3 linked regions of the Canis lupus familiaris genome follow. The protein of the gene in region 3 interacts with the protein of the main gene of each other region in a pairwise test. Links are inferred from orthologs where the notes say so. Each region holds a gene or a part of one and is shown on either strand. Other genes may lie near its edges. The genes, in order: PPP1R12C, MEOX2 and C15H1orf109.

Region 1 (3,645 bases), on a different chromosome or scaffold from region 3:
CAGGGGAAGGGATGCGTGTGGCAGAAGCAGCTGTATAAATACGGGTACAGGGAAGGTTCTCCTCCAGAGTCACTTAGAGAGTTTGCTGATAACACGGATCAGGGCTGCGTTCTCATCCTTGAGCCTCTGGTTGTCAGCCCGGAGGTCGGACAGGGCCTGTGGGATGGGATGGGTCACAGCAGGGTGGCCCTGGGCCAGTGGAACCCACTGTGCACAGCACCCCCTAATTCCTCACCTTTAGCTCCTCCTCAAGCTCAGCTGCCTTTCTCTCCAGGGCCCTGCGCTCCTGGAATAAATAGGAGAGGTGAAGCCCAGGGTCTGGGGTTCAGGGAGGGCCAGCGGTCAAAATAGGATGAGAAGGGTAGGGGGTCACCGTGCCCTCCTTCAGACCCACATGGGTTTGTAAGGCTGGTGACACATCTGGCCCCCACCCCAGCTGCCTCCACTCACGAATCTCTCCAGCTCCAGAAGGGCCGGTCTCTCTGCAAAGCGCTCCTGCCTCTGGTGAGAACAGAGAAAGCACAAGGCTCAGACATCCCAACCACAAAGACCAGGGGGGAAATCAGCATGGGAGAGGGACAGCAGTCCAGGCTCCTGGAGGGCTGGGTCCCTCATCATCAGCCCTGATCCCAAGGGTCCCAGCCCTGCCCCCGCAGCCCGCCTCCCCCATCCCCCCTTGCTCTTGCTCCCCTGGGCATCCCTCATCATTCAGCCCCACCCCGCCACCCTGCCCACCTCCAAGACCTCAGCACCTCACCTGCGTGGCTCGCTCTAGCTCCACCTTGAGCTGTGCCAGGCGCAGCGTAGTCTCAGTCAGAGCCTCACGAAGCCTCTCATTCTCACTGCGCAGCTCTGAGTACAGCTGAAGGACCAGCAGGAGGGGGACAGGGTCAGGCCTGCCAGTCCCACACAGCTCAGCGAGGCCACTGAATAGCAGGGTGCAGGGAGGTGGCAGGCTAAGCCACAGAGAAAGGGCGGTAGGGCAGGTGGACAGAGGCTGACAGTTGGGGCAGGGGACTGCGAACCTTTCTGAAGCCTCCATCAGGCTCTTCCGATTCTGGCTCGGGGTCCTGCACCCTGCGAGGTGAGGGGCCGCCCTCGGAAGTGCTGGGTGGAGGCGGGCAGGGCATCAATGGGGCTCCCTGCGGCCCTACAGACAAACCCAAACCCTTCCCTGCCCACCCTGTACCTGGACTCTGGGCTGCGGTCGGCCGGCTCCGCCTCCTCCCCCTGCGGGCGGAGGTGGGGTTCAGCCTGATGCCGGGAGGGGAGTCTGGCCCACCACCCTGCCGTCAAGGCCCACCCATAGCCCAGCTCACCCCGCCTGGGCCTTCCCACTCACCTCTGCAGGCCCCCTCCACTCCTTGCCGAATTTGCGGTGCTCCCTGGCGGCCTGTGGTCCCTGACCCTGCCCATCAGGCACCTCTGCTGGGGGGAGGGGCAGGAATCAGCCCCGAAACCTGTGGAGGGGCCCCTCCCTGCCCTGTCAGGGTCCCTAGCCTGACCCCCCAAGAAAACAGCACAGCAGGATAGATGGGGAGGGGAGCGGGCAGGAGCCACCTCCCAGACACCAGACCTCACCTCTCCGGGCAGGGCCTTCAGAATTCTCCACCCCAGGGATGCGGGGACGACGAGATGGGTCCTAGGGGACAGGGGCAAGGAGGTCAGAATGGTCAGAGGACATGGGGTCTTATACCACCCACTACCTGCTCATCTGACCCCTCTCACCAGGCTCTGCAGGCATGACTTCTCTGGCTCTGGGGCCTTCCCTGCTACCTTCTCGGCTTCCTTCAGGTCAGTCAGAGTCACACCCTGGCAGAGTGGGAGCAGTCAGGGGTCCTCGAGCTCAGGGCTAGCCCCTTAGGTCCCAAGTCCAGGCCCCCAGGTCCTCCTCCCTTAGACCAGGGAGTCCTGGTCCCCAGCCCCTCCTTCCCAGGACCCACAAGAATTCAGGCCCCCAACCCCCTTTCCCAGGACCCAGGAGCCCAGTGCCCCAGCCCACCCCCACACCTGTGTGGACCTCCGAGACTGGCGCATGAGGCGGGAGCGAGCTTTCCTCTGGGATTCAGACTCCTCATCCCGCACAGGCATCTGATAGGACCTGAGTGAAAGGTCCCAACTTCAGGGAGGGTTCCTTTGCAGCCCGTTCCTGTCCCACCCACGCTGACACCCTTCAGGGAAGGTAAGTTCTGTCAGAGGACTTCCAACTCACAGCAACCCTGGGACAAACCCCGTAGGGAGCCCGAGACCCTGGGGACACAGCCCTGGGCCAGCTAGGTTTTCCCAGCGGGCGCGAAAGAGGCTTCCCACCCCCTGCCTCTTCACCTCCGCCTATCCTGGGAATCAGCTGGGGGCGCTATGGAGGCTACAGGGACATTTGGCTTCACTGGGGATTCAGACTCCGGAATCCTGGAGGGAGGAGTGGAGTGATCCAGAGGAGGACGCCTGGAGATCTCAAACCTGTGTGAATTCATTCATCCAGCAAATATTATTACTTAAGCTTGAGTTACATGGCAGGTGCTAGAGATACAGACAGCAGTGAGCAAAAGATGAAAATCATCTCTGCCCCAATGAGTCAAACATGAACAGAAAAGAGGCAGAACAAACAATAAGCATAAAAAACCCTCATATGTCATCTCAGACCCTCATCATGTCATGCCAGAAGGCCAAAGTACTTTGAAGCAAGGAAACAGAAGGGGTGGGAGGTGGGAGAGTATGTGTGTGCAGACACTGCAGTAGCATGAGCAGGTGGTCAGAGCGGGCCTCACAAGGACCTGAGCAGGGAGTGGAAGCAAGCTGGGGAGTTGCAGAGCAAAGGCCCTGGGGCAGGAGTCAGAAAGGGATGGGGTGAGAGACACAGACAACAGGAGGTCATGTCACTGTGACCCTGGAAGCTTAACTCTGAGCTTTTACTTGATGTACCAGAGGACAACTGAGGCAAAGAGCAGCCAAGGGCAGAGATCCCAGAGAGCAAAGGGACTTGCTCAGGATCATACAGCCCCTACCCCGACAGGCCCAGGCCCTTCCTTGGCACTCACAGGGCAGAGGATTCCAGCACCTTACGGGAGGGTGTAGGCGTGATTCTGGCAAGACGGGGCTCCTTGGCCTGTGTAAAGAGAGAACGGAGAGAACATTCTCCTCGAACAGGCAGGGCTCGGTCCCCTGCCCCTCACTCCACTCACCTGAATGGAGGTCCCTTCCAGCCAAGAGGAGGAAGCTGAGCGCTGTAGCCCCACCCCAGGGGTGCCCTCAGCCTCCCGTCTGTCTGTGGGACCCAGGGTACTAGAGCTCCCCATCTTCTGGAGGCCAAAGCGCCTGGCGAAGGGAGCCTCCTCTGAGGGCTGTGGAAGAGCAAGGTCTTGGCTATAGAGAAAAGATCCTTCCAGAGGCTTCCTGTGTTACCCCAGAAGGACCACAAAAACCACAATTCCCACCAACCTCTGGAGGGTGGAGCCAGAAAAAAACAGTCAATGGCTCTGGAGACTCTAGAAACTAACCTTGACCCTACATGCCCTGAGAAGAGGGTTGCACAGTTGATGGTATCAACTCCCCCTCCCAAAACAGCATGACCATCCAGAACATCCAGACTCACCTTGGGGCTCTGAGGGCTAGAGGGTGGCGGGGAAGACACTCCATTGAGAGTTC
Region 2 (3,645 bases), on a different chromosome or scaffold from region 3:
CATCTAGCTCAACAAATATTTGTGCTACAAAATAATTAATTCACTATGCCTTGAATGGCAAAAAGTTTTCCTTCCTCTGATTGACAGTTGTGTTTTTCAGTTTATGCTAGAAATTCTTTCATATTCATTATAACACATAAACCTGAGTAGAAGCAAGAGAAGTTAGCTTTAATTTCCATTTTGTGACTTAGGGAGATTGTTACTTGCCTAAGAATCCAAATTCCAATGGAAAATCTAGTTGTTCTATTCAAATTTTTATCATAATAATTCAATTTTTCTCACTGTCACATAGTGGCCCTCTGAAGACTTAACTTTGACTAGGAATTTAGATTCCACATGTATGCATCTCCTTTTCATATTAATCTGAAAAACTGGAAATAAAGATTTATAGGATAAAAAAATCTTCACGATATAAAATTTCAATTCTTTCAAAATCCAATTATATCTCAAGATTTGTTTGTTTGTTTTTTCCCCTATGACACTATAGTTAGATCATTTCGGTAACGGCCTCCAGCAAATGTCACCTTCCTTCCATATATCCATTCCTTAAATGGTCTCCTTCTACATTGACACTGTGCTTGGTCATATGACTTGCTTTAGACAATGAGTCATCAGTAAATATGAGATAACGAGAGTCCTTGAAAGCCTTGGTCCATTGGAGTTTTTCTTCTATTCCTGACAATGCTTCTATCCCCATTTGAAAAGTCTCAGAGAGCCTATTAGAAGAAAATGAAACCACATACAACAGAGACAAATGTCCCAGCTGAGACTATTTAAACCAACCAGCTCTTCAAACCCAAACCCGCCACGTGACTACAGCTCTATGGGAGATTTAGGTAAGGTAAGCAGCTTAACCATCCAACTGAGCCCAGTCAAAATCCCCGACCCACAAAACTGTGAGCAAATTGAATGTCGGTTATTAGTTGAAACCACTATGATTTTTGAATGTTTGTTACATAGTCAAGGCTAACTGATAACAAAATTGAAAAGGGACCTTTGATAAACAAAAACAAAGATTAGAATTGTATGTGTGTGTATTTTGCTTAAAATTACATATCATCCTTTTCCATAAATGACAACTCAGGAAGACATATCCAAAATACCTAAAAAATTGCCAGACCAAATTTATAGAATTGCTTTTCTAAAAGAAATTATTTTAAACCATAAGGGAAACTTCTGCTTTATAATCAGATAATCACAGGTAACCAAAGCCATCCCCAGAATAGCAAGCACAGAATCTTCACATTCCCTCTTGGCTAAGAGTATAGTACTGCATCCCATTATTTCTATAGCTTGGAAACAAGTCTTAGCTTGTTTCCTTTTTGTACCATAGAAAACATGGTTGCATTTCCTAGAATTCACTGTCTATGGATAAGAACATTAAAATATGTAATTCTTTCCCTCCCTTCTTTTTTTATCTGCTCCCAGTTTAAAAAAAATGAAAATAAAACAGATGTCCAATAATGTAGATTTTGGATTCTCCTTTCCAGCATGCCAAATGTTGTACACTTATGGAGAGGAGTTTGTCTGTGAAGTTCAAGGGAAAGAAAATGTTGTGCTTCACAACTTAGGCACTAGTCATAATATTTAATAAAATATAAACTGCCAATAAATAAAACCACATAAAAGTGTCTCTCTCTATATTCCCAATCCCCAGAAATACCCTACAAAAGCTGAAATCCAGAAATTAACAGAAGGAAAGCAGATGATTTAAGAAACTGGATAAAATAACTTGCTCTCCTAAGATAGTATTCATACGTCCACACCCTGTTGGTATTTCTTTGGTTCTGATGGGATCCCTGGAGGAGGTGCATACAGTGAAAGGAAATGAGACTCTAGTCCTAGGAGTGCCAATCATAACTGCACTGTCCATAAAGATGTTTGGATTTGCCTTTCAGGAATGTTTTCCTAAAGATTAGCAACTGTTAACCATCAGTAAGCTAGATTCTCCCAGGGCAAATCAGAATCCATAAAAAGAATGCACTGGGAGCACTACTGGAGCAAGTAAAATCCAAGAAAGGACCTTTTAGGTTTTATCAACTGGAGTCCACAGATCGTTCATAATTGCAAAGTGTTCTCTAAATGAGTCAATGTCAGAAATTTAAATTTTTGAGACCAATATCAGTTCAAAAATATTTGGGAAATATTTACGAAAGACCTATGGGCCCTTGCTCCCATCATTTCCCAGCCCCCCTTGAACTTAAGTGGCACCACGGATGATTTCCGGACCTTGGAGTATAAATGGAAGTGACATGGGTCATTTCCGGGTGAAAACATTTAAAGGTCAGTGCATGAACCTCCACCTCTTTCTTACCTCCTGTGGTTACCAAGGACACCACATGTTGAGATGCCAGAGAGTCAGCCTGGGTCCGTGAGTGACTGATTGTTTATAATGCTGAACTTGTAAAGTTAGTATGGAGAGTGAGCAAATAGTGAACTTTTTTGTTATGTCATGGAGGTCCGGGGGTTAATGTGTTACAGCAACATAGCAAACCCTGTCCTGAGCAATAGAGGAAACTAATATGGGGTTGCTGGCTTTCTATTATACCAAAATAAGGAGATTTTAAAATATAAGCAAAAAAGAATTGCTCACTATATGCCATCATTATATACAAGAAATACTATTTTAAACCAAAATATATAGGAAGGACACAAATACAGAATAAAGAATGATACCTTAAACTGAATAAATGTAGTTTTCCTTAAAAACACTGCTATCTTATCCTTAATTTTGCCATTTTGCCGTGCCAAAACTTCATCATGGAACAGAACACCTATCTTACAAATGGCATTTAAGAACCACAGATCTAGATATTTCAAAAATGGCGAGAGAAGATTGTTGACTCAACACAATTAAAAATACCATATCACAACAATGTCCAACTTTACCTGTCTTTCAGTGAGATCCAGATTCACTGCTATCTCATATCGCCTCAGTCTGGTCAGATAATTATGATGGGCAAATTCTGCTTCAAGTTCTCTGATTTGCTCTTTGGTAAAAGCTGTCCTTTCCTTCCTGGGTTTGCTATTGACTTCTGACTTGTAATTTCCTTCCTGGGAATCTGGGGGGAATGTAAGAGAGAATTAAATTGACTTTATTCATTCAAATGCATACAATCATATCATTCATACCAGAAGCATTTACTGAATAACTACTTTTTCAGGTACTATGTTAGATATGGAGAAACAGAGAGCAAAGACAGAAGACTGATCTCACAACAGGATAAGATACATTTCTTACTTTTTCGATCTGCTCTCCTGTGACTCAGCCTAATTGGCAAAGTGTCTAATATTCTTTCAAAATATGAACAAAAAATGTATTTGCTCTTAATATGATAAAAAGATAAATAAATAAACCACCTCTAGAAAACAATTTCGGATGTAAAATTGCGTTTAATAAGTTGTTTAATATGTATACTTGGGATCTAGGTATGATTGAACTCTTTAATTCCTAAGAAAAAAAGTGTTGACTTAATATGTGAATATTTAAGCAATTTGAATGTTTAGCAACTGGACCATAAAAGTCAGTTCAAGGTCAGACAAAGCATACATAAAAGTGTGTGTGTATTTACTGACTTTTTAATTTCTATTTAAGTTTAGTCTCTTTGAGGGCAATAGCAATTCTATTCTCTTATTTTATATAAT
Region 3 (4,161 bases):
CTCTCCCTCATCTTCCTTAGGTCTTTTCTCAAATGTCACTATCTCAGTGAGGCCTCTCCTGACTACCATGTTTAAGATCACAGCCCCACCCTCGCCCTTCGCTTGCCCCGTTTCATTTTTCCCCAAGTTCAAAGACAATGAGAACTGACCTGCACTCTATAGTCGTATGCTCTCGTGAAAACTGAAATGAAAAACTTCCTGAGACAGCTCTGGATGCTGTCTGAAACATATTCGCAAAGGATACGCATTTCGATAGTGTCTCTCAATATCCTGCAACCACTCCAACATGTCAGCCACAGAGGGGCTCACCGCTGAAGCCCGCTGGACAGCATCAATGCCAATCGCGTCTGCGTGCTGCTCATAGACCTCAAACACTTGTTCCACGTGCCTGCTGACAACGTCACGCACCTTGAGGAGGGTAGCTCTGGGGGGAAAAGTCTCACATTAGGCAATACCACGAGAGGACCCTAAGGCAGGGGTCCTCAACCTCAGCACATGCACATTTCAATTTGGACGGTCCCTTGTGGTGGAGAGTTGTTGTCCTGTGCGTGTTAGGATGCTGAGCAGTATCCTCGGCCTCTACCCGCTAGATGAGAGGAGCAAACCACGTCAGGACAATCAATCGGGTCTCCAGACACTGCCAAACGTCCCAGTGGGAAAAACTGCTCTGGGTGCACAGAGAGAGACTACTGCAGATAGGAGAAGTTACTTAACGCTCAATCATGTATAAAAATGGTGTTGCTCACTGCACACCCTAAGTGCTCACAACCCTGAGACTGGCACGTAGAATGACAAACACTTGTTCAATGAATGAATGGAGTGAAACGGTTCTTGGGAGGATCAAATGCAATAATGCTTATAAAGTGCTTAGGGAAGTGCCCAGCTCACAGTGAGCATAATAGTAATAATATTCTTATTATTCCAGGGCGTGATCCTGGAGACCTGGGATCGAGTCCCACATCAGGCCCCCTGCATGGAGCCTGCTTCTCCCTCCGCCTGTGTCTCTGCCTCTCTCTTTGTGTGTCTCATGGATAAATAAATAAAATCTTAAAAAAAGGGGTATCCCTGGGAGGCTCAGTGGTTTAGTGCCTGCCTTCGGCCCAGGTCGTGACCCTGGAGTCCCGGGATCGAGTCCCACGTCGGGCTCCCGGCATGGAGCCTGCTTCTCCCTCTGCCTGTGTCTCTACCTCTCTTTCTCTATGTCTATCATAAATAAATGAATAAATCTTTAAAAAAAATCTTAAAAAAAAAAAACTCTCTCTCTTCTAATCTACAAAGAAACCAAGCCTGGTTCATTGCTATATTCCCACCACCTTGTGCGTGGCTTAATTACAGGTGCTCAGCTCTCTTGTACAAATGACTACAAAGAAGATCCCTGTACTCGACCTGTTCCCGTTAGCCTAGGGCACAGACCGTATACACTGGACACTTATTTTGCTCTAGTCGAGAAAAGGCCTATCCGCGCGGGGTGCCTTTGTCAGGGATGCATTCCCTTGCGATTCTGGCTCAGGTCATGTTGTCATGACGGATCGTGACATGGGAGCCCTGCATGGGGCTCTGCGCCCAGCTGGGAGTCTCCTTGAAATGCTCTCTCTCCCTCTGCCCCTTTCCCCACTTATCCCCTCTCTCTAAAAGGGAAGGGAAGGGAAGAAGGAAGGGAAGGGAGGAAGGAAGGAAAGTAAGGAAGGGAAGGGAAGGAAGGGAAGGAAGGGAAGGGAAGGGAGGAAGTGAGGGAGGAAGGAAAGGAAGGGAAGGGAGGAAGGAAGGGAGGAAGGGAAGGAAGGAGGGCAGACTGCACACTGAGTGCAGAGCCCCAGCGCCGGGCTTGACCTCACCACCTGAGAGCACGACCTGAGCCAAAACCACAGAGCCCAAAGCCCGACTGACCACGCCAGCCAGGTGCCCCTGTAAAACGACTTTGTGACAAGAGGTCCCATTGCGGGGAACCCCCGGGTGGCTCAGCGGGTGAGCATCTGCCTGCAGCCCAGGGCGTGACCCTAGAGACCCAGGATAGAGTCCCACGTCGGGCTCCCTGCGTGGAGCCTGCATCTCCCTCTGCCTGCGTCCCATGCATAAAATCAATCAATCAATCAATCAATCAATAAATCCCATTGCAACAAATGGAGAAGAGGCGAGGCTGCGACACCTCCTTCCCTTCCAGGGAAGGGGAAACCCCCTCTCCGACTGATCCTAGCTGCTTAGGGAGCCCCCGCGTCTCCACCCTCCCGCGCGGAGCTCTTCTTACAGCGTCTCCCCTAGCTTGTCCAACACGTCGTCGCCAGCCTCCAGCTGCTTGCGCCGCAGCCGCTCCCGCAGGCCCGGGAAGGCCCGAAGCGGGGGCGCGTCGTCCAGCCGCGCGACCTGAGCCGCCTGCAGCTGCTCCGCCAGGCTGCCGAGCGCGGCCAGCAGGGGCTGGCAGTCCCCGAGCGCGCCCCGCCAGCGGCGCTGCTGCTCCTGCACGGCGGGGAAGCAGCCCCTCAGGGCCTCCCGCACGGCGAGCAGAGGCTGGTCCTGCGCCATCACCTGCCGGACAAGCCCAGGCCGGCGGGCAGCGCCAGGCGGCCCAGGTGCGAGGGTTCCCGTGCGCAAGCGCCGTGTACCCCCTCCGACCCGGGGGCGGCCCCGCTTTCAGGTCGCAGCGCTGTCCCGAAACCCGGGCCTTGAGCCCGAGTTCTGTCTCCTCCCCTGGCAGCTCCGGTCGCCTTCCCCGAACCGGCGGGAGCCCTGGAAGCCCGCGGCGGCTAAGCGGGGGCGCCCACCGGGGCACCCACGCCCGGCGCTCCCTCGCCGCCTCTCCGCGCATGCTCCAGCGCGGCCGCCGCGGCGCAAACGGAGGTCGCAACGCGCGATGCCTTCTGGGGGCTGTAGTCCTACGGGCGGAGCGTCCTTGTGATTGGATGTTGCGGGAGCCTCCCAAGACGGCGACTTCTGATTCGTCAGCCGGTGGCGGTTTGAATTCGGCGGCGGCGGCTGCACGTCGGGTTCTGCAAGGAGCTGCTCCGTCCTTGCGGCTGCGGAGGCGGGGGTTCTCTTGGACGCTTTCGGCGACCCGCATGTACGTGCCCCGCGCCTCGTTTAAGCTCGGGCCTCCCCGGGGCAGCCTGTGCCCCCCGCTCGCCCCTTAGGGCGCCCGCCCGGCCTCTCCCGCGACCTCGGCCGCTGACCGCCCCCCCCCCCCACGCCCCGGGGGCGCCCGCAGCCTCCACCCAAGCGCCATGGCTCCGGCTAGGAAGGGCGGCAGTCGGGTGGCCAAGACCAGCTCCTTGCGGAGCCGGAAGCTCGCCTCCTTTCTTCGGGACTTCGACCGGGAAGGTAGGGGGCGCAGCCGGGGTGCGGGCGGGGTGGGGTGCGGGGCCCCGGGCCCCGGTTCACCCGCCCGTGTGCCCTGCCCGCAGTGCAAATACGGTCCAAGCAGATCCAGTCGGACACACAGAACCTCCTCAAGGAGATGGACAACCTGTACAACATCGAGATCCTGCGGCTCCCCAAGGCGCTGCGCGAGATGAACTGGCTCGACTACTTCGGTAAGAGCCGCTCGCGTCCCCAGGCCTCGGCCGGCGGTGATCACCCCCGCCCCCCGCCCCCCTGCGCTGCTTATTGCACTTCCCTGCTTCACCTGTCTGCACAGGACTCTGACGTCATCTGCCCCGCAGGTAGGCAGGCAGGCAGGCAGGCAGGCAGGCAGGCATCCATCCCCTCTAAAGGACCCCATACTGAATTCTTGAAGCTTTGCAGCTACTCAATTCAAGCTGTTCTAGGCCCAAAACTGCTGGATTGAACAGGTGCATGTATGTGTTCCAGGAAAACGTTACTTAGGGACGCACAGAAATGTGAAATTTGTGTGCATTTTTTGTGTCACAAAACGCTCTCTCTCACTTGCTCGCTCTCTCTCTCTTTTTTTTTTTTTTTTGGATAGTTTATCCAGTCGCTTAAAAACGGATACCTGAATAACTTGGTTCGTTAACCAGAGCTCAGATGGTTGGAGAACCCTAAGCCGTACTTTCTGCATCTCATGGAAACCGTCAGTTAAAAAAAAAAAAAGGGCAAATCAGATTGTGAAGCGCAAGGACTCAAGTTTTTCTGGCCAGCAGAAAACTGCAGCCTGTTCTCTGGCCCCCATGTTAAATGCCCAAGGACATGCGACAGGCTCTCGTTTCTGCT

Evidence for each region.
Region 1: the proteins of C15H1orf109 (region 3) and PPP1R12C interact in binary tests that used the Homo sapiens proteins (3 or more experiments, as listed by UniProt). The two-hybrid records come from large-scale screens. The link is inferred for Canis lupus familiaris from reciprocal best matches to the Homo sapiens genes AIRIM and PPP1R12C.
Region 2: the proteins of C15H1orf109 (region 3) and MEOX2 interact in binary tests that used the Homo sapiens proteins (3 or more experiments, as listed by UniProt). The two-hybrid records come from large-scale screens. The link is inferred for Canis lupus familiaris from reciprocal best matches to the Homo sapiens genes AIRIM and MEOX2.

Annotation. Positions count from the first base shown.
Region 1 is NC_049222.1:103,278,250-103,281,894, reverse strand, and holds part of PPP1R12C (protein phosphatase 1 regulatory subunit 12C), read right to left. Parts: coding exon 3,593-3,645; intron 3,342-3,592; coding exon 3,183-3,341; intron 3,107-3,182; coding exon 3,039-3,106; intron 2,461-3,038; coding exon 2,326-2,460; intron 2,102-2,325; coding exon 2,011-2,101; intron 1,813-2,010; coding exon 1,729-1,812; intron 1,643-1,728; coding exon 1,582-1,642; intron 1,429-1,581; coding exon 1,343-1,428; intron 1,231-1,342; coding exon 1,190-1,230; intron 1,108-1,189; coding exon 1,026-1,107; intron 863-1,025; coding exon 758-862; intron 502-757; coding exon 451-501; intron 287-450; coding exon 236-286; intron 157-235; coding exon of another isoform or gene 70-156; exon of another isoform or gene 1-69. UniProt on the Homo sapiens protein: Regulates myosin phosphatase activity.
Region 2 is NC_049235.1:30,321,139-30,324,783, forward strand, and holds part of MEOX2 (homeobox protein MOX-2), read right to left. Parts: intron 3,063-3,645; coding exon 2,890-3,062; intron 1-2,889. UniProt on the Homo sapiens protein: Mesodermal transcription factor that plays a key role in somitogenesis and somitogenesis and limb muscle differentiation. Required during limb development for normal appendicular muscle formation and for the normal regulation of myogenic genes.
Region 3 is NC_049236.1:4,885,466-4,889,626, reverse strand, and holds the start of C15H1orf109 (uncharacterized protein C1orf109 homolog), read right to left. Parts: upstream 2,810-4,161; 5' UTR 2,521-2,809; coding exon 2,246-2,520; intron 425-2,245; coding exon 245-424; intron 1-244. Other genes in the region: CDCA8 (borealin), read left to right, coding at 3,216-3,312, 3,396-3,524. UniProt on the Homo sapiens protein: Part of the 55LCC heterohexameric ATPase complex which is chromatin-associated and promotes replisome proteostasis to maintain replication fork progression and genome stability.